Macaca mulatta: one gene and its partners. The protein of the gene in region 4 purifies or fractionates together with the protein of the main gene of each other region. This does not show direct contact. Links are inferred from orthologs where the notes say so. Each region holds a gene or a part of one and is shown on either strand. Other genes may lie near its edges. The genes, in order: SNTB2, DTNB, DMD, TNS2 and UTRN.

The links.
Region 1: the proteins of TNS2 (region 4) and SNTB2 purify together in Homo sapiens (affinity purification with mass spectrometry; 4 studies listed by BioGRID and IntAct, with this or other methods). This does not show direct contact. The link is inferred for Macaca mulatta from reciprocal best matches to the Homo sapiens genes TNS2 and SNTB2.
Region 2: the proteins of TNS2 (region 4) and DTNB purify together in Homo sapiens (affinity purification with mass spectrometry; 3 studies listed by BioGRID and IntAct, with this or other methods). This does not show direct contact. The link is inferred for Macaca mulatta from reciprocal best matches to the Homo sapiens genes TNS2 and DTNB.
Region 3: the proteins of TNS2 (region 4) and DMD purify together in Homo sapiens (affinity purification with mass spectrometry; 3 studies listed by BioGRID and IntAct, with this or other methods). This does not show direct contact. The link is inferred for Macaca mulatta from reciprocal best matches to the Homo sapiens genes TNS2 and DMD.
Region 5: the proteins of TNS2 (region 4) and UTRN purify together in Homo sapiens (affinity purification with mass spectrometry; 4 studies listed by BioGRID and IntAct, with this or other methods). This does not show direct contact. The link is inferred for Macaca mulatta from reciprocal best matches to the Homo sapiens genes TNS2 and UTRN.

The regions. Positions count from the first base shown.
Region 1 is NC_133425.1:64,873,812-64,879,651, forward strand, and holds part of SNTB2 (beta-2-syntrophin), read left to right. Parts: intron 1-1,701; exon of another isoform or gene 1,702-2,189; intron 2,190-4,096; coding exon 4,097-4,307; intron 4,308-5,840. UniProt on the Homo sapiens protein: Adapter protein that binds to and probably organizes the subcellular localization of a variety of membrane proteins. May link various receptors to the actin cytoskeleton and the dystrophin glycoprotein complex.
Region 2 is NC_133418.1:99,628,156-99,633,429, reverse strand, and holds the end of DTNB (dystrobrevin beta), read right to left. Parts: intron 4,483-5,274; exon of another isoform or gene 4,336-4,482; intron 3,946-4,335; coding exon of another isoform or gene 3,941-3,945; exon of another isoform or gene 3,912-3,940; intron 2,181-3,911; coding exon 1,893-2,180; 3' UTR 1,870-1,892; downstream 1-1,869.
Region 3 is NC_133426.1:32,394,953-32,400,792, reverse strand, and holds part of DMD (dystrophin), read left to right. Parts: intron 1-2,195; coding exon 2,196-2,309; intron 2,310-3,284; coding exon 3,285-3,440; intron 3,441-5,840. UniProt on the Homo sapiens protein: Anchors the extracellular matrix to the cytoskeleton via F-actin. Ligand for dystroglycan.
Region 4 is NC_133416.1:60,186,857-60,193,450, reverse strand, and holds the start of TNS2 (tensin-2), read right to left. Parts: upstream 3,999-6,594; 5' UTR 3,866-3,998; coding exon 3,722-3,865; intron 3,320-3,721; coding exon 3,211-3,319; intron 2,720-3,210; coding exon 2,682-2,719; intron 1,770-2,681; coding exon 1,731-1,769; intron 1,412-1,730; coding exon 1,373-1,411; intron 1,222-1,372; coding exon 1,172-1,221; intron 917-1,171; coding exon 745-916; intron 1-744. UniProt on the Homo sapiens protein: Tyrosine-protein phosphatase which regulates cell motility, proliferation and muscle-response to insulin. Phosphatase activity is mediated by binding to phosphatidylinositol-3,4,5-triphosphate (PtdIns(3,4,5)P3) via the SH2 domain.
Region 5 is NC_133409.1:49,688,382-49,694,221, forward strand, and holds part of UTRN (utrophin), read left to right. Parts: intron 1-2,688; coding exon 2,689-2,892; intron 2,893-4,161; coding exon 4,162-4,343; intron 4,344-5,325; coding exon 5,326-5,476; intron 5,477-5,840.

The DNA of each region.
Region 1 (5,840 bases), on a different chromosome or scaffold from region 4:
CCTGCCTCAGCCTCCCAAAGTGTTGGGATTACAGGCGTGAGTCACTGTACTTGACCTAATTTTTTTAAATTGTGGTAAAATACACATAACATAAAATTTCTTAATCATTTTTAAGTGTACAGGTCAGAAGTGTTAAGTATATTCATATTTTTGTACAACCAATGTCCAGAAGTTTTTCTTCTTGCAAAACTAAAATTCTCTACTCATTAAAAACCTCCCCATTTCACCCTTCCTTCAGCTCCTGGCACCTACCATTCCACTTTCTGTGAGTTTGACTGCTGTAGATACTTCATAAAAGTGGGTTCATACATTATTTCTTTTTTCGTGACTGGCTTATTTTACTTAGTATAATATCCTTAATGATGTGTGTTGTAACATGTGTTAGGATTTCTTCCTTATTAAGGGGTGAATAATGCCATTATATGTATATACTACATTTTGTTTATCCATTCATCCATTGATGGACATTTGGGTTGCTTCCACCTTTTGGCTATTGTGAATGATGCTGCTATAAACATGGGTGTACAAATGTCTCATAAAATTATTTTTTAAGTTGATTGTTTTGATCATGTTGCCCTCCTATTGAGAATCCTAAGTGATTCTATGTTATTAATAGTTACCAATTAAGGCCAGGCGCAGTGGCTCACGCCTGTAATCCCAGCACTTTGGGAGACCTAAGTGGGTGGATCACTTGAGGTCAGGAGTTCAAGACCAGCCTGGCCAACATGGTGAAACCCTGTCTCTACTAAAAATACAAAAATTAGCCAGGCTTGGTGGTGTGTGCCTGTAATCCCAGCTACTTGGGAGGCTGAAGCAGGAGAATTGCTTGAACCCGGGAGGCAGAGGTTTCCGTGAGCCGAGATTGTGCCACTGCACTTCAGCCTGGGCAAAGAGCAAGACTCCATCTCAAAAAAAAAAAAAAAAAAAAAAAAAGTTACCAATTAATATTCAGACTTAACCTGCTGTTCAAGACCCTCTAAATTCTGGAACCAAGCTACCTCTTAATATACGTAGGTATATAATAGGAAATCAAATAAAGAGCTCATCAGAACTGTGTCTAAATAAAAAGCAAATAGCTTAAAACTTGATATCTAAAGGTTTTCCTCTGAGTAATATGAACTTTCAAATACAGACTTTTCTTAAGCCTTTTGGCTGTTCACAACTCTTATTTTATGTCTTCTGTTTTCTAGAACTTTTGTCCTATTTTGCTGTTACCATAAAACTTTGACAGCATATAAAAGATGGATAGACTAGTAGGTAGGCCTGGAAGTAGCTAGATGATACACTTTTTTCATCACTGTATCTCCAATACCAGTGCCTAGCACAGTATTTGGCATATAGTAGGTGCTCAATAAATGTTTATTTAAGAAAGTATAGACCAACCAGAATTCAAATGAAAATGAATATTTGTAATACGAAATATGACAACTTAAAGTATTTGGAATTATAAAGGGCTTAGAAACTGTGACAAAAGAGCTTCAAAGCAGAAATGCTGGTGTACTTGTAAATTGCTTATCTTTTTGACAAGTGGCATAGAATCTGATGATAGTGCCTTTAGGCAACAAAAACTGTCTTCAGAAAATAATGTAAAGAAAACTCACTCCCTGGTCATTGGCGGTTTGTGAATTTGTAGCCTACCATGAAAAACACTCCTAATTGCTTTTTTTTTTTCCATTTTAAAAGATATGTGTTCACAGCAGAGTATATATGTTATTTATTTATTTATTTGACTTTTAAAATTCATCTTTGCAAGAACTTTGATTAAAACACAAAACAATATTCAATAGATTGCTTTATAAAGAATTTGTTCAATGTATATTTAAAATATTTTAGCAGTTTTCTAAAGGTTACTTTTGAAATATAGATTGTTCTTGGTGAGCATTAACTAATACAGAACAGTCATAGTGTTGATCCCTTAACTATTTTTCTTTTTTCTTTTTTTTTTTTTTTTTGAGACAGAGTCTTGCTCTGTCGCCCAGGCTGGAGCGCAGTGGCCAGATCTCGGCTCACTGCAAGCTCCGCCTCCCGGGTTTACGCCATTCTCCTGCCTCAGCCTCCCGAGTAGCTGGGACTACAGACGCCCGCCACCTCGCCCGGCTAGTTTTTTGTATTTTTTAGTAGAGACGGGGTTTCACTGTGTTAGCCAGGATGGTCTCGATCTCCTGACCTCGTGATCCGCCCGTCTCGGCCTCCCAAAGTGCTGGGATTACAGGCTTGAGCCACCGCGCCTGGCCTTCCCTTAACTATTTTTCTACCATAACTCACTGGATGAGTAATCACATAAAAGTACCCAAACACAGTTCTAAATTTTCATAAAGAGTAATAATCTGCTAATTTTCTTTTTTCTTTTTTTTTTTTTTTGAGAGGAAGTCTCACTTTGTCACCCAGGCTGGAGTGCAGTGGCGCGATCTTGGCTCACTGCAATCTCCAACTCCTGGGTTCAAGCGATTCTCCTGCCTCAGCCTCCTGAGTAGCTGGCATTACAGGCATGTGCCACCATGCGTGGCTAATTTTTGTATATTTTAGTAGAGATGGGGTTTCACCATGTTGGCCAGGCTGGTCTCAAACTCCTGACCTCAGGTGATCTGCCCATCTCAGCCTCCCAAAGTGCTGGGATTACAGGCGTGAGCCACCATGCCCGGCTGCTAATTTTCTATTTATTTCACATAATGTAAATTTCAGTTCATTATTTGGCAGTACACATTTTTAAGCTGGCACTACTTTATACCAGAATTTCCTAAATGTTTAAAAGAGTATCAGTTCCTTCTTTTCAATGTGCCTATATGGTTCAGCAAGCATGCTTTTCATTTCTTAGACATAGAAATTAAGGTAAAGTTATCTACTGTAGACTACAGTAAGTTCCCTCAGCTTATTACTTTGACACTGAAACGACAGATCCAGCAGTTGGTGTTTCTTTAATTTTTTCTCGGGTTCAGTAACTAGCCCAAGTTGGTCTTTCTGATTTTTTAATATATTTTATTTATTTATTTATTTATTTATTTATTTATTTATTTATTTGAGACAGAGTCTTGCTCTGTCACCCAGGCTGGATCTTGGCTCACTGCAACCTCCACCTCCCTAGTTCAAGCAGTTCCCCTGCCTCAGCGTCCCGAGTAGCTGGGATTACAGGCGCCCGCCCCCATGCCCGGCTAAATTTTTTGTATTTTTGGTAGAGTCGGGATGTCACTATGTTGGCCAGGCTGGCCTCAAACTCCTGATCTCAGACAGTCCATCTGCCTTGGCCTCCCAAAGTGCTGGGATTACAGGAGTGAGCCACCGCGCCCGGCCTCTGATTTTTATCTTTCCATATGTTGTTTTCTTTGGAATTGAGCTCTAGGGAATTAAGAGAAAGTATCTTTTTTTTCTTTTTTTTTTTTAGATGGAGTCTCGCTCTGTCACCCAGGCTGGAGTACAGTGGTCTGATCTTGGCTCATTGCAACCTCCACCTCCCGGGTTCAAGCTATTCTCCTGCCTCAGCCTCCTGAGTAGCTGGGATTACAGGCACCCACTACCATGCCCAGCTAATTTTTTGTATTTTAGCAGAGATGGGGTTTCACTGTGTTGCCCAGGCTGGTCTCGAACTCCTGAGCTCAGGCAATCTGCCTGCCTTGGCCTCCCAAAGTGCTGGTATTACAGTCGTGAGCCACTGTGCCTGGCTGAGAACGTATCTTTTTTTTGAGACGGAGTCTCGCTCTGTCGCCCAGGCTGGAGTGCAGTGGCCGGATCTCAGCTCACTGCAAGCTCCGCCTCCCGGGTTCACGCCATTCTCCCGCCTCAGCCTCCCGAGTAACTGGGACTACAGGCGCCCGCCACCTCGCCCGGCTAGTTTTTTGTATTTTTTAGTAGAGACGGGGTTTCACCATGTTAGCCAGGATGGTCTCGATCTCCTGACCTCGTGATCTACCTGTCTCGGCCTCCCAAAGTGCTGGGATTACAGGCTTGAGTCACCGCGCCCGGCCTGAAAGTATCTTTATTTGAGTATACAGATGTATTTGAAAATGCTAAGTTAAAATAGATTTGCAGTTATGTATTTTAAACCTGGCAGGTTTGGTGACTTCTGTCCTAGCTCATTTTTTTTTTTTCTTTTTCCACACAGATTGATAGAGCTACATTCTCCTGATAGCAGGAACACGTTGATCCTACGCTGCAAAGATACAGCCACAGCACACTCCTGGTTCGTAGCTATCCACACCAACATAATGGCTCTCCTCCCACAGGTGTTGGCTGAACTCAACGCCATGCTTGGGGCAACCAGTACAGCAGGAGGCAGTAAAGAGGTCAAGCATATTGCCTGGCTGGCAGAACAGGTAGGCTGGGAGGCAGGTATCACCTGGTTCCCATTCAGAGCCAGGATGGTTCCTCATTTTAGATATCTGTAATACTTAACATGCAGTTAGGTCCTGGATATCTAACTTGCAGATCTTTTGTTTTTCGGTCTTTTGTTTCACCTTCCTTTTTCTCCTTCTACCTTTGGCTATTTGTTGCTAATTATCCACTCAACCAGAAGTAACTGACATAGTAATCACTATCATACTGTTACTAAAAAGAAGTTCTTATTACCATCTCTATCCTTAATGACAGAGGATAATTTTCATGATTTTAGATCAGGTTCAGCTAACTTTTTCTGTAGAGGGCAAGATAGCATCACAACTACTTGATTCTTCTGTTGTAGCAAGACAACTGTAATAGGCAATAGGAAAATGAATGGGTGTGACTGCGTTTCAGTAAAACTTTATTTACAAAAACAAGTAAACTGGTGGTTGGCTGGATCTGGCCCAGGGGTCATAGTTTCCCAACCCTTGTTCCTGACTAGAAGAGCTTCTAGGGGCAGCAGGCTGTAGTTGATTCCCCTGCTCTGGGAAAAGTATAAAATATACAAACGATTTTACAATTAGACAGAGGTACAATTGTCTTCCATAACTGAAAAGTGAAAAAAAAAAGAAACAAGAAAGCCTGAGTAGATGTTGAGTGAAAGGAAAAGAAGAACTTGAAAGCCCAAGTTATTTTAGATCCCAGGTTTGACAAAAGGAGAGTAAAAGTTCTATGTGACATTATGTTACATCTTTTTTCTTCACCATCAGCTAGGCTAGAGGGGCTTGAAAAAAAAAGGACTGGACTAGGGGGTTCAGAGATGAGTGTTTAAGTGCTAGCTCTGTTTTTCACTGCTTTTGAGTCTTTTTGAAACTTACGTTTTGAATCCTAGTTGTGTGTGCAAAGGGCCAGGGAGTGGACTAAATAACTGGTTCCCAAATACAGCAGAATCAGCACAGGAAGGATTCTGTTCTTTCAGTTTTGATTTTTTTTTTTTTTTTTTAAGTACAGTTTCCCACTGGTTCCCACCTTCCACCCCAACATAGTTCTAACTTTTTTTTTTAAGCCCAGGTTGATTTTATTTATTTGAGGAGGATATTGTCCTCAAAGCAGTTCTGATGTGGTAGATCTGTGGTGGTGCCTGGTGATCTTGGTGGTACCAAGTAATTGTGGTAATTCAGGGGCCAATTTTGGTCACCAGCAAGAGTAATTTTTTTATTTTATTTTTTGCCACTTCTCAACTTTTTATGAACATTTCAAATAAAATTATAATGAGAATGTAATATTAGTACAGTGATCATTTCTATAAAGCATAATTAGAATAACTAATAAATGAGTGAAAGTCATGGTATAAGTACTTATGACTTTGAAAATTTTAACATTTTAGTTGTGTTTATCATTGTTTCTATATTTTATATGCTAGTTGAAAACTTGAATTGAATGGTAATTGTTCTGTGCTTCTGGCATCGTTCAAAATCCTCATGATTTTAAAAAGGTAACACATTCACATGGTTGAAAAATCAAACAAA
Region 2 (5,274 bases), on a different chromosome or scaffold from region 4:
CAAGACCTGCTGAATCAGAGACTCTATCCGTATTTTAACAAGCCCTCCAGGGGATTCACGGACATGCTGAAGTCTGCGAACCACTGGTGCAGTATATTACCTAGGAGCCCTGAGAAGGACACTTCATTTAGTTTTCTGATCCACACGAGGAGAACCCGTCCAGGCGCATGAGGCTTGCGGCTACGGTGTCTTCCCAAGGAAGGCGGGCTACTGACCTCCCACATGTCCCGCATGTAACCCATCAGCTGAGCCCTGGCAGTGCAGAGGCCAGAGGCCAGACTGGGAATCCACCGAATGCCTCTTCATGAGCTCTTTTCTTCCAGAAGGTGCAGCAGGAATTCAGATGGCTGTAGGCATTGCCATAGCAACTGCACCCCTCCGAAGCGCTTATGGGCTGCAGGAGCACAGTAAGCAGAGCGAAGAGGGGCGCGTCTGCCAATGGATGAAGCCTCACCAGCAGATGAGAGCGGCCACGAAGGGAAGAGGAGGCTCGGGATGGCTGGGACTTATGGACAAGAACTCGGTGGAGCTGTTGCTTCCTCAAGACCCACGATGTATTAGGTAGCCCTCCAGGGGTCCTCTGGCACAGAAAAACAGCGCCAGCCCAGGCTATGGTGCTGCATGGCAGCCTGGCTCACCCAGGAATCAGTGATGCCGCAGTCTCTCAAAAGACCGTCTACCTAGGTTAAATTAGGCTGCTCAGTGGTCCCAGAGCAATTAAGATGGAAGTGCCCATCTTCCTTCTGTGATGACCATCTGTGTTCCTCGCCAGGGTTGAGGAAAGGGACCCAGTTCCAAACGTCTGACAGGGATGTGGGTCCTAAAGCAGATGCCAACAGTCATGAGGGAGCTCGGGGCTTAGGTAATGGCGGATATTCTAGCTCTACAAGACATCAACCTTAGCAAGAACCAGCATCACCAGAGTGCACCCAGTACCTGAGTGCTGGCCTCAGAGCTGAGGACACAGTCAGCAGGGGCTTGGGCAGAGGAGAGGGCCCCATGCCCTTGGAAACAGGGATCCCTGCTTGCCTGGAAGGCCAGAGAGGGGCCACGGTGAGCGGAACCCCGTGGAAAGTTCGGGGGGACACAGTGCCAACCAATGGGAAGATGAGCTATGGGGGAGAAGAGAAGAAAAGGATGGAAGGAGTGAATACCCACCCCTTCTATTTTACCCTGACTGGGCCTTGGCAGGCTTCCCTGGGACTCCATCCGTGCGCGGCCAGGAGTTGATCCCACCGGCTCTGCACAGACCTCCTCAAAGCCAAGGTCAGGGGTCTGCAGAGGTGGGTGGGGGATGCCAGGGAGCCAGCTGTGGGGCTTCTCGCTTCATTACAATCACTGCCCTTTATAAATATTTATAGCAGTTCTTCTGCTAAAAATAACATCCTGGAGCCCAGGGAGGAGGAAAAAAATAAATGAAAATCACCGGGAACGGGACTTGATCACGTGTACCCGAGCCCAATGGACCCCTAAGGCGAAAGGCTGCGTGCAGCGCCCCCGGCGGCGCGCCCCCTGGCGGCCACGGAGTCCGCGGCGCAGAGAGTCCCTCCCGCCCTCTGCCAGGCGGCCAGCCGGGCTGCGGCGCGCGGCGCGCGGCTCGATCTCCGCCCCTCCCTCCCGGGTTGCAGGCGGCGGCATCACACAGGGCGGGCGGAAGCCTAACCAGTGTGAGGCTATTTTTAGCACCGTGGCCAGGGTGTGAATGTCTACAGAGCCGAGCAAGGCCTGACGCTTTCTTTGCACGCTAGAAGAAACCTGTTGGTTCTTAAAGGTCAAAGATAAGGAAACCTGTGCCCCCACGTTTGGGAACACCCCACGTGCTGGCCAGACGCCAGGCAGAGTTCCATCAGGTCACAAACACACAAGAGCTTGGTGCTTTTTCTTTTCTCTTTTCAACCTCCAGGTAAATTCCTGATGCGGAGATGAGACCATGCCCTGAGGGGAGTGATGAAGGTGCTAGTACATGCAGGGCTGTGCAGGGGGAGGCCCACCAGCTGTGTCACGCAGCCCCTCCCCGCTTCCCACCGGCTCTGGCTCCCCTCTCCCTGGCGGGTGGAGTGACGTCTGGCAGCCTGCAAGCCTGGTCCAGGTGTGCGGTGGAAAGATGGAGAGGAATGTGCCTCTGGGGGAAGACCTTGCCTTCGCCATGTCGGCGCCAGCTTGCTCCTCGTCCTCTGTGCCTGCGCAAGACACACTCACCGTTAGTCACGGGCACTGCTGAGGGTTCAGGACAAAAGCTGCTAACATCTACTGTGAACAGGAGGCCCTGCGGGGAGGGGCTGCTAGGATGCTGGGCGCCTTTCAAGCGCTGAGCTGAAGGGTGGTACCTAAGGTCCTCTACTACCATTCCTAAGAGTCAGGAAGTGTTTCCATGGAGAACTGGGTTCACAATGCAAGGTTTGGAATGGGGTGCTTTCTTGGGGAGAACTGTGGCCTAGGAGAAGGGCAGGGAGGACTGACGTGTGCCGATGAATACTAAGAGGAAAGGGAGGAAGCCTCAGCCCCAGGCCATCAGAGCGCAGGCCCGGGCATCCATGGAACCGCGGCGCCCAAGTTTAATGCTTATAGTTTAACTCCCGACTGTTGGTGTTTCTCATCACCCCTGATGTGGGTCAGAGAGTGCACGATTAGGAGGCAGAAGAACCGGCTCCAATTCTGCTTCTGGCATACAGCTTCCGGTGTGGGGCTTTGTTTTCCTCCATGTGCAACAAGGCGGTGGGGGCACATGGCTCTGCCACGTTTCCTTGCACCCTAGTTCCTTCCGCCCGGGGGAGAGAGGGGCTCTGGCAGGCTCCTGCAGGGCGAGTCAGTTCCTGATTTCCCTCCTCGGCTGCCACGGCCTAGGCTTGCTTGGGAAAGGGCCTTGCCTGAATGTGCACAGTGAGTTTAGGGAGAAGCGTCTCTCCAAGCCCCTGGGGCACTGTGATTTCCAGGGCAGCGAGAGAATGCGCGTGGCCCAGGTGCTGCCCACCTCTCAGCTTGCACAATCCAGAGTCAGCGCAGGCTGAGGCTGCAGGGGCCCCAGGGGAACGGGCAGAGCCCTTCAATGGCCTGGCGCAGTTGGGCAGAGAGGGCTGAGAGGGCCAGAAGCTATTCCAGGATGACAAGACTTGGGAAAGTCTGAAAAAACTCCTTTTCTGGATTGTGGGGCTAGGGCCCTGGCTTTTTCATCTGAGGAAGATGCCTAATTTTTAAATATGAGAAGTAGGGGAAGGGGGAGGGAAGACAAGATTTTAAAATGGAGAAGTCTGATATCTTGGCGCTGGGACTAGAAAGAGTTAAGGTGTTGAGATGGAAAATGGGAATGACTAATTCCTAAAGGCAATGAGCATCTGCCACTGGAGCAGTCTGTACTTTCCTGCACTGCTTCTTCGGGAAGTGAGAAGGTGCAGCTTGGCCGGGCACCATGGGTAGCGGCTTGGTCAGCCCTGTATGTAGCGTGATCCTGCATGAATCACATGTCTGTGGGTTAGGGACTGTGACTCGGTGCAGTGCTGGGTGACAGAATCCAGGGACGCACTGGCTGTGGTTTGGATCCCAGGAAGGAAGTGGGCAGTGGCTGTGGTAAAGGAGCATGGGAGGCAGTGCTCCCCAGGGAGGTGGCCTTGCTCAGCACGCCCTGTTTCAGCCAACGGTGTTGGGTCTGCCAACGTCATCCCAACACAGAGGTCACCAGGCCATGCCCAAGGACCAGGCATGCAGACAGTGCCGTGCAAGACAGGACACGGCCTAGAAATAGGGCAAGGAGGGCACATGGCCAGGGTGGGCAAAGGGAAGGGAGTCGAGCTCTTGCATCTTCACCTGTTAGGACCGTCCTGGCTTGGGACCTGTGACTGCAGAAAGGAAGGGGAAGGGAAGATGTTGAGGAAGGAGGGAGGGCCGTGGGGAGGCAGAGGACTCTCTGTACTCACCTGAGCTTCCTCTGTGTCCGGCTCCTCTGCTAACCTGTGGCAGCACGGGCAGAAACAACACGCTGAGGTCACGGCCAGGTCTTCTCATGCCCCAGACTATGCTTCCCTGAACCACCCACCCCAGGGGCTTCCTTGCTTCTCCCCTGTTACTTGTATGTTGACTTTTCCCACCCAGGTATGACAGCAGGGTAGAGTCATACTTTCTACTATCATAGCCAACCCAAGGCAGCCATGGAGACAGATGCTTCCCAGGAGAAGGAAAGTCATTAAAAATGGAATCAAATCTCCTTAAATCCAGGGAGCAGTTACATGAGGGGGGGCAAAGCCTACCCAGCTCTAAAAGTTCCCCAAGGGACTGCACCTTGGGTGAGGGCAGTCCCCCTCCTGCAGATAGTCTGCTTTGAAAAGCCATGCGCTTGCTCACCCGGGGCTCGAGCACTGCCTGGCCCCTCCCGAGCCTGTTCTGTTCTCTGAGGGCCACTGCTGTCCAGCCTTGCACCAGGGCTCTTTATGGATGCAAACTGGATTTACAGCCCCCACACCGGGATGGCAGGGTCTGGGAGGGGAGATTCTGAAGGACACAGGAGCGTAACATGAGGCTCTGGAGGGTGGAGAAGACATACTATGGGGGAAGGTGTCAGTCTGTGCTTCTTCTATGTGTCTTGGTTACACTTCTCTGAGAAGATGCATAGGAGGAAGGGTACCCCAATGGAGCAGAAGCGTTCCCCAGGATGCAGCCAGCCAGCCAGCCAGGGGCGAACAGGGAGAGGCGTGAGGTAGGGGTGAATATGGCAGGGAAGTTCAGCTTGGTCCAGATTCTTCAAAAGTCCCATTTGACTCTAAGAGTTTCCCTATCGAGCAGACTGTTTGCCTGACAGTGCTGACCAAATTCTGTTTATATTACGTCAGCATAGTTTCAACCCCAAAGAGGCAAATATACTCTCTCTCTCTCTTTACAGTTGACAGTTACAGATCTCTGGTGTCCAGGTGACTGCAGTTAGTTCTAGGTCTGTAAAATTTCAGGCCTAGCTCATGGCAGAGAATCAGGAGGTCCACCCACAAAAACACTTAGTCTTAGAAAAATGCCTATGTATCAGCTACATTGTAGTTTCAGGGACATATCATAGGACCTATATAATGTGGAGAGCCAAACATAAACACTCTACCATCTCTCACCCCAACTATTAACACTCTTGGCCTTAGGGATGACACCAGCAAGTCACATAAAATTCAGGCATTCCCACAAAAAGATTTCACATAGACATACAGACATTCTAGTATATGCATTGAAAGACAGACAAGGAGCTCTAAGGGCAAGAGGCACAGAAACAAGAGATGAGGACAGGGCAGTGCAGGTGTAAAG
Region 3 (5,840 bases), on a different chromosome or scaffold from region 4:
ATAGCTTCAAACAACACAAATTTATTACAGTTCTGGAAGTCAGAAGCTCAGAATTAGTCTCAGTGGGCTAAAATTAAGGTGTCAGCAGGACTGTGTGTGTTTTGGAGGCTTTGAGAGAGTCTGTTTTTTGGCATTTTTAGCTTCTAGAAGCATTCCTTGGCTCATATCCCCATCCTCCATCTTCAGTGTCAGCAGTGTAACATCGTCCAGTGTCAGTTTCTCTCTCCCTCTCTATCTCCATCTCCCTCTCATTCTACCTCTCCTCCTCCTCTTCCTCTCCCTGTCCTGTTCCTTGTGTTGACTTCCTTTTAATTAGGACCTTTGTGATTACATTATGCCCAGGTGGATGATCCAGTATAATCTCCCCATCTCAAAATCCTTAAAGTAATCACATCTGCAAAGTCCTTTCTGTCATGTTGGGTAATGTACTCACAGGTTTCAGAGATTAGGGTGTAGACATCTTGGGGGTAACATTATTCAGCCTTCCATGGTAAATAAAGCAATATGGGAAAGGTTGTCACAGTAGGCAGGAAGGAAATCTAACATAAACTAGAAAAAAAGATTGTGAAATATTATTGGAACATAGATTATCTCTGCTATAGATTGAATAGGTAGAATTTAGTTAGATAATACCGAGAAAGGAAGAGTTCTTGAGAAAGCATCGCAGCATTTTCAGTTAACTGGAATAAGTTCAACATTGGGGAGACAATATATATGGGGATTAATAAAATATTATGGTTGGAAAACTGGTTTGGGAGTAGACAGTGAATGGCCTTGGATGCCACGTTTTACGATCTGAGTTTTAATCTAATGGTAATGAGAGTGATAACAATAACAATAAGAAAAAACTGCTATTGGTTAAAGAGGGAAATAATATGATTCCACTTGTGTTTTCAAAACACTCCCATGGCAAGAGGAAGGAGGAGAAGAGAAGATTCCTGGCTTCACTGTAGATCAATAATTAGAATGAGGTAAGACCGAAGCAGATATCAAAATGAGCCAGTGCATTAATGGAGTCAGTAATAAGACCTGAACAGACCAGGCATAGTGGCTCACACCTGTAATCCCAACACTGTGAGAGGCCGAGGTGGGTAGATCACGAGGTCCAGAGATCAAGACCATCCTGGCCAACATGGTGAAACCTCGTCTCTACTAAAAATACAAAAATTAGCTGGGCATGGTGGTGCACACCTGTAGTCCCAGCTACTTGGGAGGCTGAGGCAGGAGTAATCACTTGAATCTGGGAGGTGGAGGCTACAGTGAGCCAAGATTGTGCCACTTCACTCCAGCCTGGGTGACGGAGCAAGACTCCGTCTCAAAAAAAAAAAAAAAAAAGACCTGAGCAAGGACAGTGAAGATGTGGAAAAAGAGCAAATGTAGACTTGAAAGACAACAGCAAGGTGATCATGTTGAAGTTCTCTGACTTAGATAAGTGCTTTAAAAATTATTATTAATCATCATATTAAAGGGGAAACTTTCTGTGGAGCATGTATTTTCAATATACATTTAAGTAAATTGGAAGAAAACTCATGTAGACAGTAGAGTTCAATCATACTTTTTAAAAGTAGCGAAACAGCAGAAAGAAAGGTAATATGGCAAAGAATCATGGATGAGAGATATTGGCTATTTATAAATGATAAAAGATGATGATTTTTACCTGATCATTACTTCATACTGGTCAGACAAATAAAAACAAAAGCTCTCTCTTCTAAGATGACAAAATCTTAGTCCGAAAGTTCACAACTGGAGGGACTATTTAAACTGTCATCTGTAGAAAACAATTTGTGAAGTTCGAGTTTAGGGAGGCTATGAAGACACCATTACATTGAGTTTATTGTTCATAGTTTGTTTTATGTACTGTAAGGGCATATTGTTAGTATTCTCATGAGTTGTTTTGTAACTTAAAATTTCTCTAGAGGGGGATATGATTTAATGTTCTTGAGAGTAACATCATAAAACCGCATTTGGTAGTAATTTTTTATTTTTAACAATAGCAGACTTCACACACCAGTGCTCATACAGTAGACCATAAAAACGCAGTCTTAGTAAAAATATTCTTTTCCTCAAGAGCTACTTAGAGACATCCTTTAAACATGGGAATCGTTTTTGGGCTTGTGTTTAGACATAACACAATGATGAATTGTATTAGAAGTAATCAGCACACCAGTAATGCCTTATAATGGGTCTCGTTTCAGAATCACATACAAACCCTGAAGAAATGGATGGCTGAAGTTGATGTTTTTCTGAAGGAGGAATGGCCTGCCCTTGGGGATTCAGAGATTCTAAAAAAGCAGCTGAAACAGTGCAGAGTACGATTTTTATATGATGTCTTTAATATGAATAATTTTGTATGAATATTACTTGGTTAGATCAGTGTTTTACAGCTGGGGTGGATTTTGCCCTCCCCTCACCAGCAGATGTTTTTTTTAATGCTTGTAGACATTTTTGATTGTCATAACTGGGTTGGGGGTGGTGGTTAGATGCTACTGGTGTCTAGTAGGTAGAGGACAGAGATGCTGCTAAGTATCTTTCAGTCCATTGAACAGCCCTCCACAACAAGGAACTGCACAATCTAAAATGTCACTAGTGCCAATGTTGAGAAACCCTGGGTTGAGTAAGTGAGGAATTGAGAAAGCATTGCCTTGTACTCAACGTCAGTTGATAACATTATTTTGCTATAAAATGCAGTATAATTTAAAGGTAAAGAATCCTTTGAGCTACTTGTTATTTCTTACAACAAATTATTATTCATACTGTGTTGTTCTCTTCATGTATAATGCACTGTACTATAACACAATATGTAGTTTTGAAATAATATTCAGTATACCACTGTCATGCAGCAGGAAGAAAATAATCTTGCTCTTTAAAGAATTTTTTTTTACAATACAAGCTAAAAAAGCAAATCCACCTTCACACCCATTACACTGTAAACAATTATCTGCAATATCCTGTGTTTGAAAATGAAAATACTAACCAAGATAGTAAAGTATGAAGCCCATTTTCACACATTTTTCTAACCAGAAATATTAGATTTATTTCCTTTTGTTTCTGATATAAGTAAAATACAAATAATTCCCCACTGGATTCATGCCATAATAACCATTGAACATTTTTGCAAGACTGTTATGCAGTTGTCTATATCAATATATTTGTATCTCAGATTTTAAAAGACAAAAATCCATATGCGATGCCATCAGTCCTAATTTTACATTTTCTAGCTATGTTGCATATTTAATATGTGGCAGTAATTTTTTCAGCTGGCTTAAATTGATTCATTTTCTTAGCTTTTAGTCAATGATATTCAGACAATTCAGCCCAGTCTAAACAGTGTCAATGAAGGTGGGCAGAAGATAAAGAATGAAGCAGAGCCAGAGTTTGCTTTGAGACTTGAGATAGAACTGAAAGAACTTAACACTCAGTGGGATCACATGTGCCAACAGGTATGGACAATGTCTTTCACTGTGGCTAGTCTCAATGTAGTTAAGATTTCCTAATGTCTCCCTTCACCATTACTTTTGTTTAAGGCTTTGTTCCTACGCTGTTGCTTTAAAGCACAATTAATTCTGACAAATTAATCTTTTTTCTAGCATATATAAATATTTTCATAGTATGTATTTTAAATAGTACACATTCATCTTATTGTGGTCCTAAAATGACTTTCTTGAAACAGCTGTCATACTGAAAAATGAAATCCTATTCGTAGTCATTATTTCCAATCCACGTTTTCTTCAGAACATAAATGTATAATAATAGATTAAGAAAAATACATTTCACAGGGATATTTGGTACAAAATAAAATGAATGGGTAATATATGTGTATGTAGAAATAGGGTAAATAATTTTTACTTTTGATTAACATTTCCAAGTTTGGCCTCTTCAATACATTTATTATTTATTTATTTTATTTTTTGGGACAGGGTCTCCCTCTGTGCCTCTGTCACCCAAGCTAGAGTGCAGTGGTGTGAACTCGGCTCACTGCAGCCTCAACCTCCTGGGCTCAAGCAATTATCTCATCTCAGCCCCCACAAGTAGCTGGAACTACAGGCGTGTGCCACGATGCCTGGCTAGTTTTTGTTATTTTTTTGGTAGCAACAGGGTCTTGCTATGTTTCCCAGGCTGCTTTTGAATTACTAGTCTGAAACAATGCTCTTTCCTTGGCCTCCCCAAGTGCTGGAGTTACAGGTGTGAGCCACCACACCCGGCCGACATCTATTTTTAAATAACAATTAAGATTCAGTAACCATTAAGAATAGCTGAATAAAAAAAAAAACCACAAAATGACTGTACACTCATATTTGAGTTTCTCATTTTTCTACAGAAGAATATTTTATAGATACCTATTTTATAGTTAAATATTAAATGATGGATAGTAAGATACATTAAAAAATAATGTATATCAAATAATTTGTGTTCAGAAGGTAAAATTTTGAACTAAAGCAATGAATACTTTTAAGTCACCAATACATTAGTCCCTGATGATCTGCAGTTTTGCTTTCCATGGTTTCAAATGCTTGTGGTCAATTGGAATCCTAAAATTGGCGAGCACAGTAAAATAAGATACTTTGAGAGGGAGAGAAAGAGAGATAACGCGTTCTGTTTTATTAGCTGTTAATCTCTTACTATTCCTAATTTATAAATTAAATTTTATCATTTGTATGTATGAATAGAAAAAAACCTAGTGTATATAGGGTTAGGTATTATCTATGGTTTCAGGCATCTACTGGAGGTCTTGGTATGAAAATGCCTTCCACAGATACAAGGGAACTACTGTGCCTTTTTGGAAATTAATAAGGAGTTTCAATTTACGTGTTAGAGGCAGTCAGTCTCTCGTTACTGCTAAGTAAACTTTCAAAATAGAAAAGAAGTAATGTCAAAAGGCAAAAGCTACATTTGAAAATGAAAAAAAAATTAGAAAAGTCAAGGCAAATCACTCAGCTAATACAATCACTGACAAATGTTCATTGGTTCTATTAATTCATAGATGAGCTATCCCTGGGTCAGCTAGCTCATATTCTTCTTCTGAAGTAAGTCAGTGCTAGAAGAGTTGTTCAGGAAAAAAAAATTATATTACTTAAATAGTAGATTATACTACTGATGTTTTCTTGGAAAGCCAGTATGAAAGGTATTTGTTTTTTGTTTGTTGAATGTTCTTAATGGATGAATAGAAAGAGCACCAATTTATGTAGAGTAAGGGGAAAACAGCAAGTAAATGAATAAATAAATAAAATAAATAAAAAAAGGTATAAAACTAACAATATTACTAAAACCTCAAGGTTTTTACATTTTATAGGAATACAATTTGTAAAGGCTGTCTACTCTTAAAATTTCTTTACTTAAGACCTTATGTCTGTTATATGTACTAAGAATTTGTTGTTCAAGAGAAATATTTTAAATACATTCATCTGTTGCATAACAGAAGAGCTATAGATCAAGCTATGTTCTGATCCCCATTTTCTAATCTTAGAGTATTATATGTATCTGTGCTTTTCCTTCGAGTATCACTCTGGCCATGTTATGACTTTGTAGATAAATGAGTTAGGTTGTGAAAGGAAGGAACAATGCACTAATGTAGAAGAGGAACAAGATGCCGTAAAAACAAGGAAGCCAGATGTGAATACTGGTACCAATTCAGCGTTCCAGAGAGAAGAATGGAAATGAAGTGTAAATCTATGCATTACAGAAATATCTACAGACAAAATAAGTGTGTGATACAGTCTTTTGGGTTAAAGATAATTCCTTATTTGTCACCAAATGCCAATGTCTGCAAAAACATAAATAATTTGGAACAAAATTGTCCAAATATCTGATATATTTGAGGATGCTTTGACATCCCATGATCT
Region 4 (6,594 bases):
CCCTGCACTTTGGGAGGCCGAGGCGGGCGGATCACGAGGTCAGGAGATCGAGACCATCCTGGCTAACACGGTGAAACCCCGTCTCTACTAAAATACAAAAAATTAGCCGGGCGCAGTGGCGGGTGCCTGCAGTCCCAGCTACTCGGGAGGCTGAGGCAGGAGAATGGCGCAAACCCGGGAGGCGGAGCTTGCAGTGAGCCGAGATCGCGCCACTGCACTCCAGCCTGGGCAACAGAGTGCAGACTCTGCCTCAAAACAACAACAACAACAAAAAAAACAAAAAAAAAAAAAAAGAAAAAAAAAGAATCTTCCTCTAAAACAAAGTGCAGGCCTGGCGCAGTGGCTCACGCCTGTAACCCCAGCACTTTGGAAGACCGAGGCGGGCGGATCACCTCCTGGGCAACAAAGAGAGACCCGTCTCAAAAAAAAAAAAAAAAAAGTAAAGAAAGAAAGAAAATAAGAAGGTAGTTAAGGCCCGGCCTAGCCACTCACAGCCAAGTCGCCAGCGCTCCTGGATACTCCGCTCCGCTCCAGGCGCCACTGCGGGCCCCGCCCCCGCCCCCGCCCCCACCCCACCCCACCCCACCCCACCCCACCCCACCCCACCCCACCCCACCCCACCCCCACTCCTCTGGTCCCGCCCACTGGCGGCCTCGCCTCCACTGGTGACGTCAGTGATTAGCCTCGCCCATCTGAACCCCACGCCCCTCTCATTGGCTGACTCCTGATGGCCCCGCCCCTCACCAGGTACTTGTCCCGGTGCTTGGATTGCAGCACGTGGGCCAGCTCGCGCAGGTGGCCCCGGTGCCGCTGTTCATCGGGCCGCGCGGGGAAGGCGGCGGCCAAGATGCGCTCCGTCACGTAGGTGAGGTCTAAGTCCCAGCGCCGCTCCATGAGCGGATCCAGGCTGAAGCTCCTGGGGAGGGGGAGCCTACGCATGAACGCAGGGGCAGGGCACCCGGAGGTGGCTAGTGTGATGGGAAGGCTGTCTGTTGGGCAGCAGGTGAAGCCTGGTGGGTCCTGAGGGTGGGTGGGTCGGTCCGGAGAGAGAATACCGCTTTGGGGGTGGGGGGCTGTCCCGGGGAGCTTTGTTGAGGGGCAGCGCCCTGGGCTGAGGTGTGGGGCCGGCGGAAAGGGGGTCACGTGGGACCACCCCAGCACCCTCACTTACCTGGGCAGAGTGCTTCGCTGCTTTGAGTGGTTCAGAGATTTGGTGGATCCCTGGTGGATAACAGACAGTGTCTGGACATCTCTTTGGGTGCCCCCTACTCTAGACTGCCCACTCCAGAGCCATACACTTTTGTCTTCAGGAAATCTAGATCCTTACTCCCAAAGCTACCTGCTTCCCCCTCCTCCTCCAGCATCACCTTACCAGGTGCTCTATGCGCCTGACTGGGGCCGTGTTTCGCCGCTAGAGGGAGATGGGGGAGGAAAAGGGAGTGGTTACAGCAGGGGCAAGGACCACTGTGGGCCTGGGAACAGTGGAAGGGAATGTCAGTGTCCTGATGAAGGCTGTACTGGACAAAGGGAGAGGAGTTCTATCCCCAGCAGGCCCAAGGGCACAAGATCAGCAGAGGACTTAGACAGTTTTTTCTTTCCTTGTAGGATGAGCAATACCCACAGCACTACATTCAAGGTCATCTCCTGGGGGCCCTCTCTGGAGCCACCAGACCTCTGGACACCATGGCCAGGTTCCTTGCCTTCCCCACCCCATCCCAGAGCGCACTCACCAACTCCGCGGGAGGCAAGGCCTGACAGGCTGAAGTCACCTGGAAGGGTACCGAGTAAGGAACTGAGCTCCTGGTGAAGGGCTCTCCTGGGCTTGAGGATGGGGTAGCCCCTCAGCTTCAGGAGGAAGGTGGAGGGGCCTTCAGCGGATGGGCACAGGCTCCAGCTGAGGTTGTGCTATTTAAGGGCACCTCCCCTCTGGCCTCTTGGTCCCCCACCCCCCAGGCCCCCCACTTGTTGCTCTTGGCGCTCAGCCCCCAGCCCACACAGACCCCCATTCATCCAGCTGCAGGGCAGGAGTTATATATAGAGCACGCAGGCAGGCCATGGCCAGGGACGGACACTGGCCTCTTTCACCGGGAGACCCCGCCCCTGGGCACACAGCTCCCCCAAGCCAGCTCCAGGGCCCTGGGACCCTCCTTCCCTGCCCTGCAGGAAGACCAGGGAACCTCCTCAGAGATAGGGCTGTCTTGGGTGCCCAGTGGACAGTGGGTGCTATCTACAGCTTATTTCTGGAAAGGCCCAGTTTTTCCAGGGCCCAGGACAAGGCCCGCCCAGGCATTTTGAGGACCCTTCCCCAGAGGGAAGGCACAGCCCATCCGGCTGCCCAGTCTCTGAAATCCTGCTCCCCCACCCCCCACCCACCCCACCCTTCCTCCTCCTCATTCTCCTCCTCTTCCCCACCCCCATCCTCTCGCCAGCTGCAGCCTGGGCACAGCACCAAGACAAACGCTGTCTCGCTGTCCACCCGCCTGGGCCGGCCAGCCCTCCAGAAGGCGGAGTAGGGTGGTTCTTAAAGGGCCCAGTCAGCACCCCTCCCACCCAGGAGGGGTTCCCCAATGGTGAGAGGGGTGGAGGTGGAGGGTTGATGCCAGTGTGGTTGGAGAAGCCTGTTTGGGAGGAGGAAGGGACTCCAGACCCTCTCCCCCTATCAGGTAGAATCAGATACCCACCTTTGCTTCACATTTTCTGTGCGTCGCCACCTTGCAGACTAGGGGAGGTAGGGGGAGGAGAGGGGTTAGCAGGGGCCTGTGGGACAGTGGAAGGAATGGCCTTCCCTCATCTCCCAGACCCTGGAACCAGATCCTGGGACTTCCAGGATCCCAGCTGGACTGGGCTGGCTAGGGCGGAGGAGCAGGGCTAGGTTTTGAGGGAAGAGTGTGGCAGTGGGGTACTATTGCGTAGGCCAGGGGTAACGTTCCAGGGTGGGTGGAGGTGAGGAGGAAGGGAGGGAAGGAAGACTACAGTCACAAGTCAGGATGGGAAGATGGTGGAGAATACTGGGTCTCCTGGGTTGTGGGGGGTGTCTGTCATGGGGAGCCAGGGCCATGTGAAGGGGGAGGCAGCCGCCTCTTAGGTGCCATTGTGCCTAATCCAGGAGCAGCATATTACATTTGAGATTGTGTGAGTTGGCCTGCTGGAGTTGTGCAACACAGTGGTACTGGGTGGAGGGTCTCAGAGTCACAGGACAGAGCACCTCACCTCTGCACGAAACGCCTGTCCCATCGACGGTCACCTTACATACTGCACAGACTGGAGGTTTCTTCCGGAAAACCTTCTCCCGGAAACTATGAGGCTCAGCTTTCCTAGGCTGAGGGTGGAAGGACAAACAGAGGTGTGAGTTCCCAGTGGGCCCATCTCCATCTCTGGGACTGGGCAGGAGCCTTGCCTTAGCACTGCACTGGTTTCCTCCATCCAGATCAAGCCCTCAAACTTGTAGGACGCACTTGGCCACAGCTGCTTCAGGGCGGTCATTGGGCCTGTCCTCAGCTGTGTATGGAATCTGACCCCTTGCGTCACCTTTGCTGGGTCAGCTCCTCCCCAGGGGATCACTTGGGCCCCTCACGTGGCCCTGGTATGTGATGCCCTTGTGGAAAGCCCACATGCTCAGGCTTTCCCCCTGGTGCAGTAGGGGTACTCCCTGACTCTTCCCGTCTTGTCCTCCCTTCATGGAGACCTGTGTGCAGAGTGAGCAGGGAGGTTCCAGACATACCTGTTGTATGTCAGTCCTGCAGCACCAGACTGAGCCAGCAGGAGTGGCCTCAGCCAGTCCTGCTCCTTTAGCTCCTGCTGTCCCCACGCTCCAGACAGCTGACATGCCCTCCTCCCCCATGGTCAGAACAACATGTTTACTCATTGTGCATTGAGGCAGCAGACAGCAATTGGATAAGGGGGGTGGTCATGCTGGAGGGAAACAGAGGCCTGTCACTGGGAGAGATGTTTAGCTGGTTTTGGATGCTGTGAGGTCTCCCCCGACCCCCTGCCCCCTGGCACTTGGGATTCATTCACACACTGAATGAGGAAGGAGTGGACCAGATTCTCTGTTCAGCCCCTCCTGATCCAGAGGTGCAGTGAAGCAGGAGCCTGGGATGCCCCCTTATGGCCCAGGCCTATCTCAGTCCCTTCCCCTCCCACTGTGGGTTCACTCCTCCTATCCTCTGTCTGGGGACAGCTTGTCTCCTTGCCACCTCTCTGTTTTACCCATATTCCCCCTCCTCTGGAGTTCAGACTCCTGCTGTCCTCATCCTGGGGACCCATCACAGTAGTCTCTCAGGTTGTCCTGAGCTGCTGCTTTTGGGGCAAGACTGGGAAGTTGGGAAAGGGAGTGATGGGGATGTGGGCAGCATCTCTGGTTTTTTGACTGTCCCTGCAACACTTCTGGGCTGGACCAACTTTGTGGGACCCACTAGGACACTTGGGAGCATGCAGGCATTAGCAGCAGATATGGATGCTGTCAGTGGAAAGCAAACCTCCAGTTCGAAAGCACTCCTGACTCCCTCTCCTCTCTCCTTTTCTGCCCTGCCACCCCATTTTCCTCAAACTTCCCCGGGCCCGGGAAGGGGCCTGATGATCTCTGAGTCTGCTCTAGGATACCTGGATAGTGCGTGGCAAAGTCCTACAGTGAGGTACCTGGGGCTTAGGTTTGGGGGGCCAGGACCCCCAGGGTTGACCCAGGCTAGAGCAGGGAAGGTGAGAGGAGCCAAAACAGACAGCGGTACCCACTCTAACCCAAACATCCCCTCACACTACAGCCCTGGCCACTCCGGAGGGGATGCTGGGCCAGGAGAGAAGGCTGAGGAAGCTGAAATTGGGAAGAGGGCCTGGCCTGATTCCAGGTCCCCTCCCCCACTGCCCACACCTCCACCCCTGCCCCTCTTTTGCCCAGCTGGTGGGCACTCCTACCCTGCTTGTGGCCCGGCTGCTGTCCCTCCTCCCCAGGGCTCTGAGCAGCCTCTCCACAGGGCCGCTGGACTTCATGGTGTTCTGCTGGCTGGGGTGCTGGCCCCAGGGCCTGAACAATGCTGGGGCCTGGCCCGGGGCTTCCTGGAAGCGGCCTGGCGGAGGCAGCCGCTTCCCCTGGGCGGAGGGTAGGCTGTCTGGCTGGTGTGAGGAGAAGCCCGGCCCTGGACGTGGAGGGAAGTGCAGGCGGGAAGGGGGCAGGTCGCTGCTCCAGGAAGTGGAGGGGGGAGGATGTGGGGGAGGCCAGGAGATCAGATTCCCAGGATCTACCCTGCTGGGAGTGTCAGCCTGTGATCTTTTGCTCCCCCCATTCCCCAACTCTGGAGTTGTCCCACACCTGGGACACCACACTCTCCAGGGATCTGCAGGGATCCATGGTCTTGAGATCCTGCCCCCAGTGGGGCCGGGTGAGAATTCTGGTCTCAGGGCAGGGCTAAAGGGCAAGTGGGGAACAGTGTGTCCCAGCCAGGCTCCAGCCAGAACTCTCAAGCCCTCGAGGGACTTCCGCTGGGGAGGGAGTGGAGCTGGGAACTACTACCAGCAGGCAGGCCCAGGATCCCGAATGTGTCCTGAGAGTCAGGTAAAAATGGGACTGGGGGCCCCCTTCCTGTCTCAGTTTAACTCTGTATGAAGTAGGAAAGGGAAAGCATGCACCGCCCACCTTTACCCTCAATACACCTTGCAAGGCCAAGTTCCAGCCACAAGACTGCTTTGCTCAGGTTTGGGGAGTAATCCATTTTCCTGCCACAGCCTAAGGCATATGAGGCCCTTCTCCTGAAAGGCCCCAGGTTTCTGCTCCTGACACAGTGCCCCCCACTCACCCATTCCCTGGCTTTGTTTCAGACATGATCTCACAGATCCCTAGCCCTCTTTCCAGCCCTGCAACTTGGTCTCTCCACCCAAGGGCTGTACCCTCCCCCTGCTGCAACCCCGAAGCCTGAGTACTACCTTCATGGCTCTCCTGGGTCTGCTCTCCTTCCTCAGCAGCTGTCCCAGGGCCTGAGGACTGGACAGGAGGTCCCCTCTCCCAACACATACTCCACCCCCATCCACGGGCCTCCCGCCTCCCTCCTGGGAACATGGCCAACTTCCCGTCCTGGGAGTCAAGGGAGGGAGATGGATGGGGCCTTGGAAAAGGGGGAGTAATCTCCCTAAAAGCTAAGGGGTTAATGGCCTGGGAGTCTTCAGCCCCAAGCTGTGGACAGCAGCCCCTGGGACCGGCTGTAGCTGTCACTTGAAAGAATGTGCAAATGTGCCCCTCTCATTTGCATGGTATTTATTGAATGTCCCAGTACTCAGGCAACTCCCACAGCCCTGGCTTCTCCCACGGGATCCCTTCTATTTGCCTCCTGCTCCTTCATACCCATCAGGAAGGGTTCTCTGGGATGGAGAATCCTGCATTCTCTGGGGTGAGGCCTGCTGTGGGTGCCCACTTGAGACCCTTGTGAGAACCTGACTGGGCTGGGCCTAGCCTGAGACCTCTCCCTTGAAGCTCCAATTTTCCAGGCCAAGAAGTGTGTCCCCAGGATATCCTGGCCAGAAGGTGGCATCTGTGTGGCAGGCCTGGGCCCCCAGCCTGTAACTGGAGAGGAGCACGGGCTCTGCGACCCACCCCCATCCTGCCAG
Region 5 (5,840 bases), on a different chromosome or scaffold from region 4:
CCACCGCGCCCAGCCGTGATCAAGTTTTAATCATCTCTCTGACATAGCTTGCCGTCCACTACTCTCCTAATAGCCAGACTTCTTCTGCCCTATTCTTTCTACAAACATACGCTGGTGGTCAGTGAATAATTCCTGCATTTAGATATTCACTCTTTAAATATCTGTCAGTTGAAAGTTTCCTCATGTGTTTGAATTAATACCATCTGAACATTTGTGTTTAGATAATGCCTTCCTTCTCGACCTCATGGATACTGGTGCCTATCTCAGTGACTTTTGGCTGGTCACTAACTTTCCTGGTTCTTAGATATTCTCATTTTAGTATAGAGGTTTGTAGCTAAATGATCTCCAGGGGTTATTTTAATTCTGCAGTTTTAGGATTTTTGGTCCATAACTTAACTCATTTTTATTTCTCTGTCTTTGGCACCATCTGTCTTTCAATTATCCATGGTTTCAACTCTGTGCTGATTGGCTCATTTCTTAACTCATATATTCAGTTTGCTGGATTCTTCAAGTCTTCCTCCAAAATGTCTTTTGTGTGTGTTTTCATTCTATTCCAGCCTTCATACTAATTAAAGACTTCATTTTCTCCTATAGTTTACAAGATGTGGCCTACCTCTGCCACTCTGCCCTGCAGTTAGAGTGGACTTTTTCCACTTTTTCCCCAAGATTCTTGTTCGTGCAGGTTCCCATCTGTTAAATGCTTCTCCACCCACCATTATATGGCAGGCTGCACATTTTTCCTCAGTTTAAATGGAGCCTTTTCAGAGAAGTCTTTTCTGATTAATCTATCAAAATACAACGCTCTGTCTGCCTCTCTCTTTCTGTCTCTCTATCTTGGTTTCTTGCTATCACAGTATTTTTGTAAACTGTGCTAAGAATTTTAAATTATATCTTAAGAGCATTGGGAAAGCCAGCGAAAGGTTTTCAGCAGGTACGTCTTATGATGGGATTACATTTTTGAAAGATCATTCTGGCTGCTGTGTGAGAAAAGGACTGTGGATTATGAAGGTGAGAGTGTTGGGTGGGGGAAAACAGTAAAGTAAAGGCAGTTGTTAGCAGGTATTCCGGTTCAGAAGATGGATGTAGGTGGTCGTGGAAAGGGAAAGGTCTGGATGGATTTGAGATAAGTTTTGAAGGAAGGTCAGAATTACTTACATATTAAATGTGGAAGGTGAAGGAGAGAAGCCGGACTGGCTCCCAGGTTTGTAGCTGGAGTACCTAGTTGTAGGGAGGAGCTTCTACTGAGATGGAGAAGCCTGAGGAGGAACAATTGGAATAAAGTGAAGGGTTTGAATATGAACATGGTTTAATATTCCTAGGAGGCATTGAAGTAGAGATATGAAGATTAGTGGGATATGAGAGTTTGGAATCCAGACTCCTAGGTGGTTCTAGATGGTTCTTTAAATCCAATAAGAGTAGATGAGATTACTCAGACTATAGAGAGGGGAGAAAAAAGAGCCCAGGACTTAATTTAGGGGAGACTCATTACTTATGAGTCAGCAGCTGCTGTTGAACCAGCAAGAAACCAGGGCAGTGTCGCAGAAGCAGGGAAAGAAGCTTCCGGAAGCTGAGGTTGCTCAGCCTTGAGGAATGCTACCGAGGGCTGAAGCAAGGAACGTGGGTGGCCAGCTCTCTGGGCTTTCTTGGGCAGTTCTGATTTAGATTTATTGTTCGAGCATCGTTATTATCAAAAATTAGTTTGTTGGTTAATTATATGGTCACCGTGAAGATGATGCTGGAAAGGTCCGTTTGGCAATGGGAAGGTTATTGGTGACATTGGCAAAAGCGTTTTCAGTTGAGTCATGGGGCAAATAGCAAGTTGAAGTTAGAGGGAATGTTAACAAACCGTAGCTGTTAAATACCTGAGCATTTTTTGTGTTGTTCTCTATACATTTCTGTACGTTTGAAATATTCTACTTAAAAATTATGCGTGAGAGTTGATAAAGTAGAGACGGAATGTAGGCAAGTCTTAAAGAAGTCTTGCTCTGAAAAGGAATAAAAGAACTAGGGAGAGTCAATTTGGTTATAAGCTCTTAAAGTATATAAGGAAATACTCAGTTGTTTAGAAAGAAGTTGAAAGAAATTTATTCCATGAGCCCTAAAAGGCCATCAAATAAACCAGAGGGCAATTGCCTAAGAAAAATACAATCAGTACAACAGCCTGTGTGGCTGTCTTTTAGTGTCTAAAATGCAATGATAGAATGCAGTTCAGCAAAAACAATTTACCTAAGGGTCAAAGCAGAAGTCTCACTTTTCTTTTTCTTTAAATTACAGAAAAGGCCCAACATGCTGTAACTCCTCTATGAAACTTTCCTGACTGTTTTAGCCTTTGTTGAACTCAAATATCATGCCTTGTTGGGACCATGCATGGCATTTACAACTTTTCTAATAGCTGTTTTTTAATTTCTGTTCAGAAGTGATTCATGTAGGTTCTCTGTCCCTGACTATATTAGAATCTCCTTGAGTACAGAATTCATGAGTGCATGCTGCTTTTATACTCTTTGCTACCCTAGTGCACTTACTCAATGCTTCAGACTCATTCACGGCTGTGCCCACCTGGCTCCTGAGAATTGGATTAGTGCCTAAGACAGAGTGGTGTCTACTTTGGGTTTGCCATACAGTGTGAGTTCGCTAAACACCTCTTGCTTTCATTGTAAGTGTGGGTTTTTCTTGGCTTTGTTTTTACAGAGTACAGCGCCCGAGGAGAAGCATGAGATTCCCCGAGCTGAGACCCCCAGCACTGTCACTGAGGTTGACGCGGATCTGGACAGCTATCAGATAGCATTGGAGGAAGTGCTGACCTGGTTGCTTTCTGCTGAGGACACTTTCCAGGAGCAGGATGATATTTCTGATGATGTTGAAGAAGTCAAAGACCAGTTTGCAACCCATGAAGTAAATATCTGTAGTTTCTTAGCAGGGTGTGTCCCCCACGGTACCTGAGTCTTAATTAGGGACTCTACTCTCCTATTTGTTATCTACCGAATTCTGTTCTTTGGAAAGGTCAATGGTTTATTTCAGGAACTGTGATATTTAAATAGTGCTTTGTTACATAATTGGTATGGGTCATTAAACTGTGCCTCAGAATTAGATTTTAGATTTTAGTCTCCTTGTATGTTTTGGAGAGCCACTGATGAAAATCATTGCATAGTACTGCTCAGTTCTGAAGTGCATTGTTATATTTGAAAAGCGAAGGAGTGAACCAGTACACCAAATCTTTAAGATCTGAGTGTTCCCTAGGAAATGATTATTCTTTTTAATTGCATGATTAGACAAATGTCATACCCAGGGTTCCTGTATTTTTTTATATCTTAAAAGTTTCCTGCTCCTTTGAGGACATACTATATTGCAGCATAGTGAATTTCACTATATGGAGATTTCTTTTGGTTAAATTTTTCTTTTGTATAAGTATGTTAATTGACAGATCTTATTTGTTGTTTTGGATGGAAAATAATATAAGTGGTAACATCTCTTAAATAATTCCTCTTGGGTGAGTATGGTATTTTATTTTATATTTTATATATATATATATATATATATATATATATATATATATATTTAAATAGAGTCTTACTCTGTCGCCCAGGCTGGAGTACAGCGGCGTGATCTCGGCTCACTGCAACTTCTACCTCCTGGCTTCAAGCGATTCTCTTGCCTCAGCCTACCAAGTAGCTGGGACCATAAACATGTGCCACCACGCCCAGCTAATTTTTTGTATTTTTAGTGGAGATGGGGTTTCACCATGTTGTCCAGGCTGGTCTTGAACTCCTGGCCTAAGTGATCCACCCACCTCAGCCTTCCAAAGTGCTGGGATTACAGGTGTGAGCCACTATGCCCGGCCTTTTATTTATTGTATTTATTTAGAATTTCATGTCCATGGTCTATGAGTAGTGTAGTCAGCATTTACTTTAAAATAGCTGGTATTATCAGGTGCAACATTGCTTGCTTTTAGCTATGTCTCTTTTAACTTATGGCAGGTGATTATTCCTATTTTCAGAGCTTAAAAAATGGGGTCAATGTCTGCACTGTTTGCACTCTACTAGGCTACCTTTTTTTGCATCACTGACATTTAGGTTAGGCATTAGCAATTTGTTCAGTTTTTTTTTTTTTTTTTTTTTTTTTGCACCGAGTAACTCACAAATTATACCAAATGTCCCTTTCTAGGCTTTTATGATGGAACTGACTGCACACCAGAGCAGTGTGGGCAGCGTCCTGCAGGCAGGCAACCAACTGATAACACAAGGAACTCTATCAGACGAAGAGGAATTTGAGATTCAGGAACAGATGACTCTGCTGAATGCTAGATGGGAGGCTCTTAGGGTGGAGAGTATGGACAGACAGTCCCGGTGAGTGGAAAGCCAAGAAATGCACTTAATTCCACAGGCTGCTTTGCACAGTTGAACTCTAGGAGATGTCTGCATGTCTGTGAAAGCAAGATGATTACAGAACTTGCCTCGGAAAAGTAAGACTCTTTTCTATGGGTAATATTGCTGGAATTTTGCATGATCTTTGTTTCCCCTTTGGTGTGCTAGCCGTACCAGAAGGTAAAAGTTGGAATACAGAACTTAACAAAAAGGGAAAAGAGGACAGGCCTGATGGCTCATGCCTGTAATCCCAGCACCTGGGAGGCCGACGCGGGTGGATCACTTGAGGCCAGGAGTTCGATACCAGCCTGGGCAACATGGTGAAACTCTGTCTCTATTAAAAATCCAAAAATTAGCTGGGCATGGTGGGCCACGCTTGTAATCCTAGCTATTTGGGAGGTTGAGGTTTGAGAATTCCTTGAACCAGGAGTTAGAGGTTGCAGTGAGCTGAGATTCAGCCACTGCACTCCAGCCTGGGCAACAAAGTGAGACTGTCTCCAGAAAAAGGAAAAGACATTTCATATGGGCAGTTACTTATTTGCAATATTAAAATCAGCTAAACATTAACTTGGTGTGAAGACAGGACTATGTAGTATTGATCTACTTTTCCATTTTGTAACTTTTATTTTAAAGCTTTCTCATGGTTTATTTTATTTCATGTATTGTATCTTCTGGAGCAAACTTCCACCTATTTAATAAGTAGGAATTCCTGACTGAAGAAATAATGATTCTGATATGAATACAGGGTGCTGTTATTTGCATTCTTTGTCTGCATTTAATGAACTCCATTTAGGAAAAAATAAAAGTTTACTTTCCTGGCTTCTATATTTAAAGACTAAATGCTACCTAGAATGTTTAGACAAGGGTGTTTTCCCTTGCCCTGTATCTCTGGTGCCCAGAATGTGTATTTGACTTTGCAAAGGGAAAAGGCTTGTAGGAATAATGCTGTGCTCCCCACGGGCAGGCTGCACGACGTGCTGATGGAACTACAGAAGAAGCAACTGCAGCAGCTCTCCACCTGGTTAACACTCACAGAGGAGCGCATTCAGAAGATGGAAACTTGCCCCCTGGACGATGATGTACAATCCCTACAAAAGCTGCTAGAAGAACATAAAGTAAATCTGTCTCGTATTTCTTTGATACCTTACCAAATATGAAAGAGCAGCACTTAGCATCTCAGAGGCTGATGATGTCTATCATTAACATGAAGTTGCAACACTTCTTCAGGGTTCTCTTCATTTAGTAGCTCACGGTGGAATTGATGGGGATGAGACTTTTCTGAGCCAGGGATAAAAGGGCAGGGTAAAATTTTATATGTGATGTGCAGTTTTCTTATGAAAGTACATAGCTTTCATACAACTGGAGAAGGGTTCTTTTGACCCTGTAAGTGGTGAAGAACCCTACCATTGCTGGCGTTCACACGGTGTGTGGGTGAAGAGCAAATTCTGAGAGGTGTCTGTACCTAAACCTTTAAGGAGA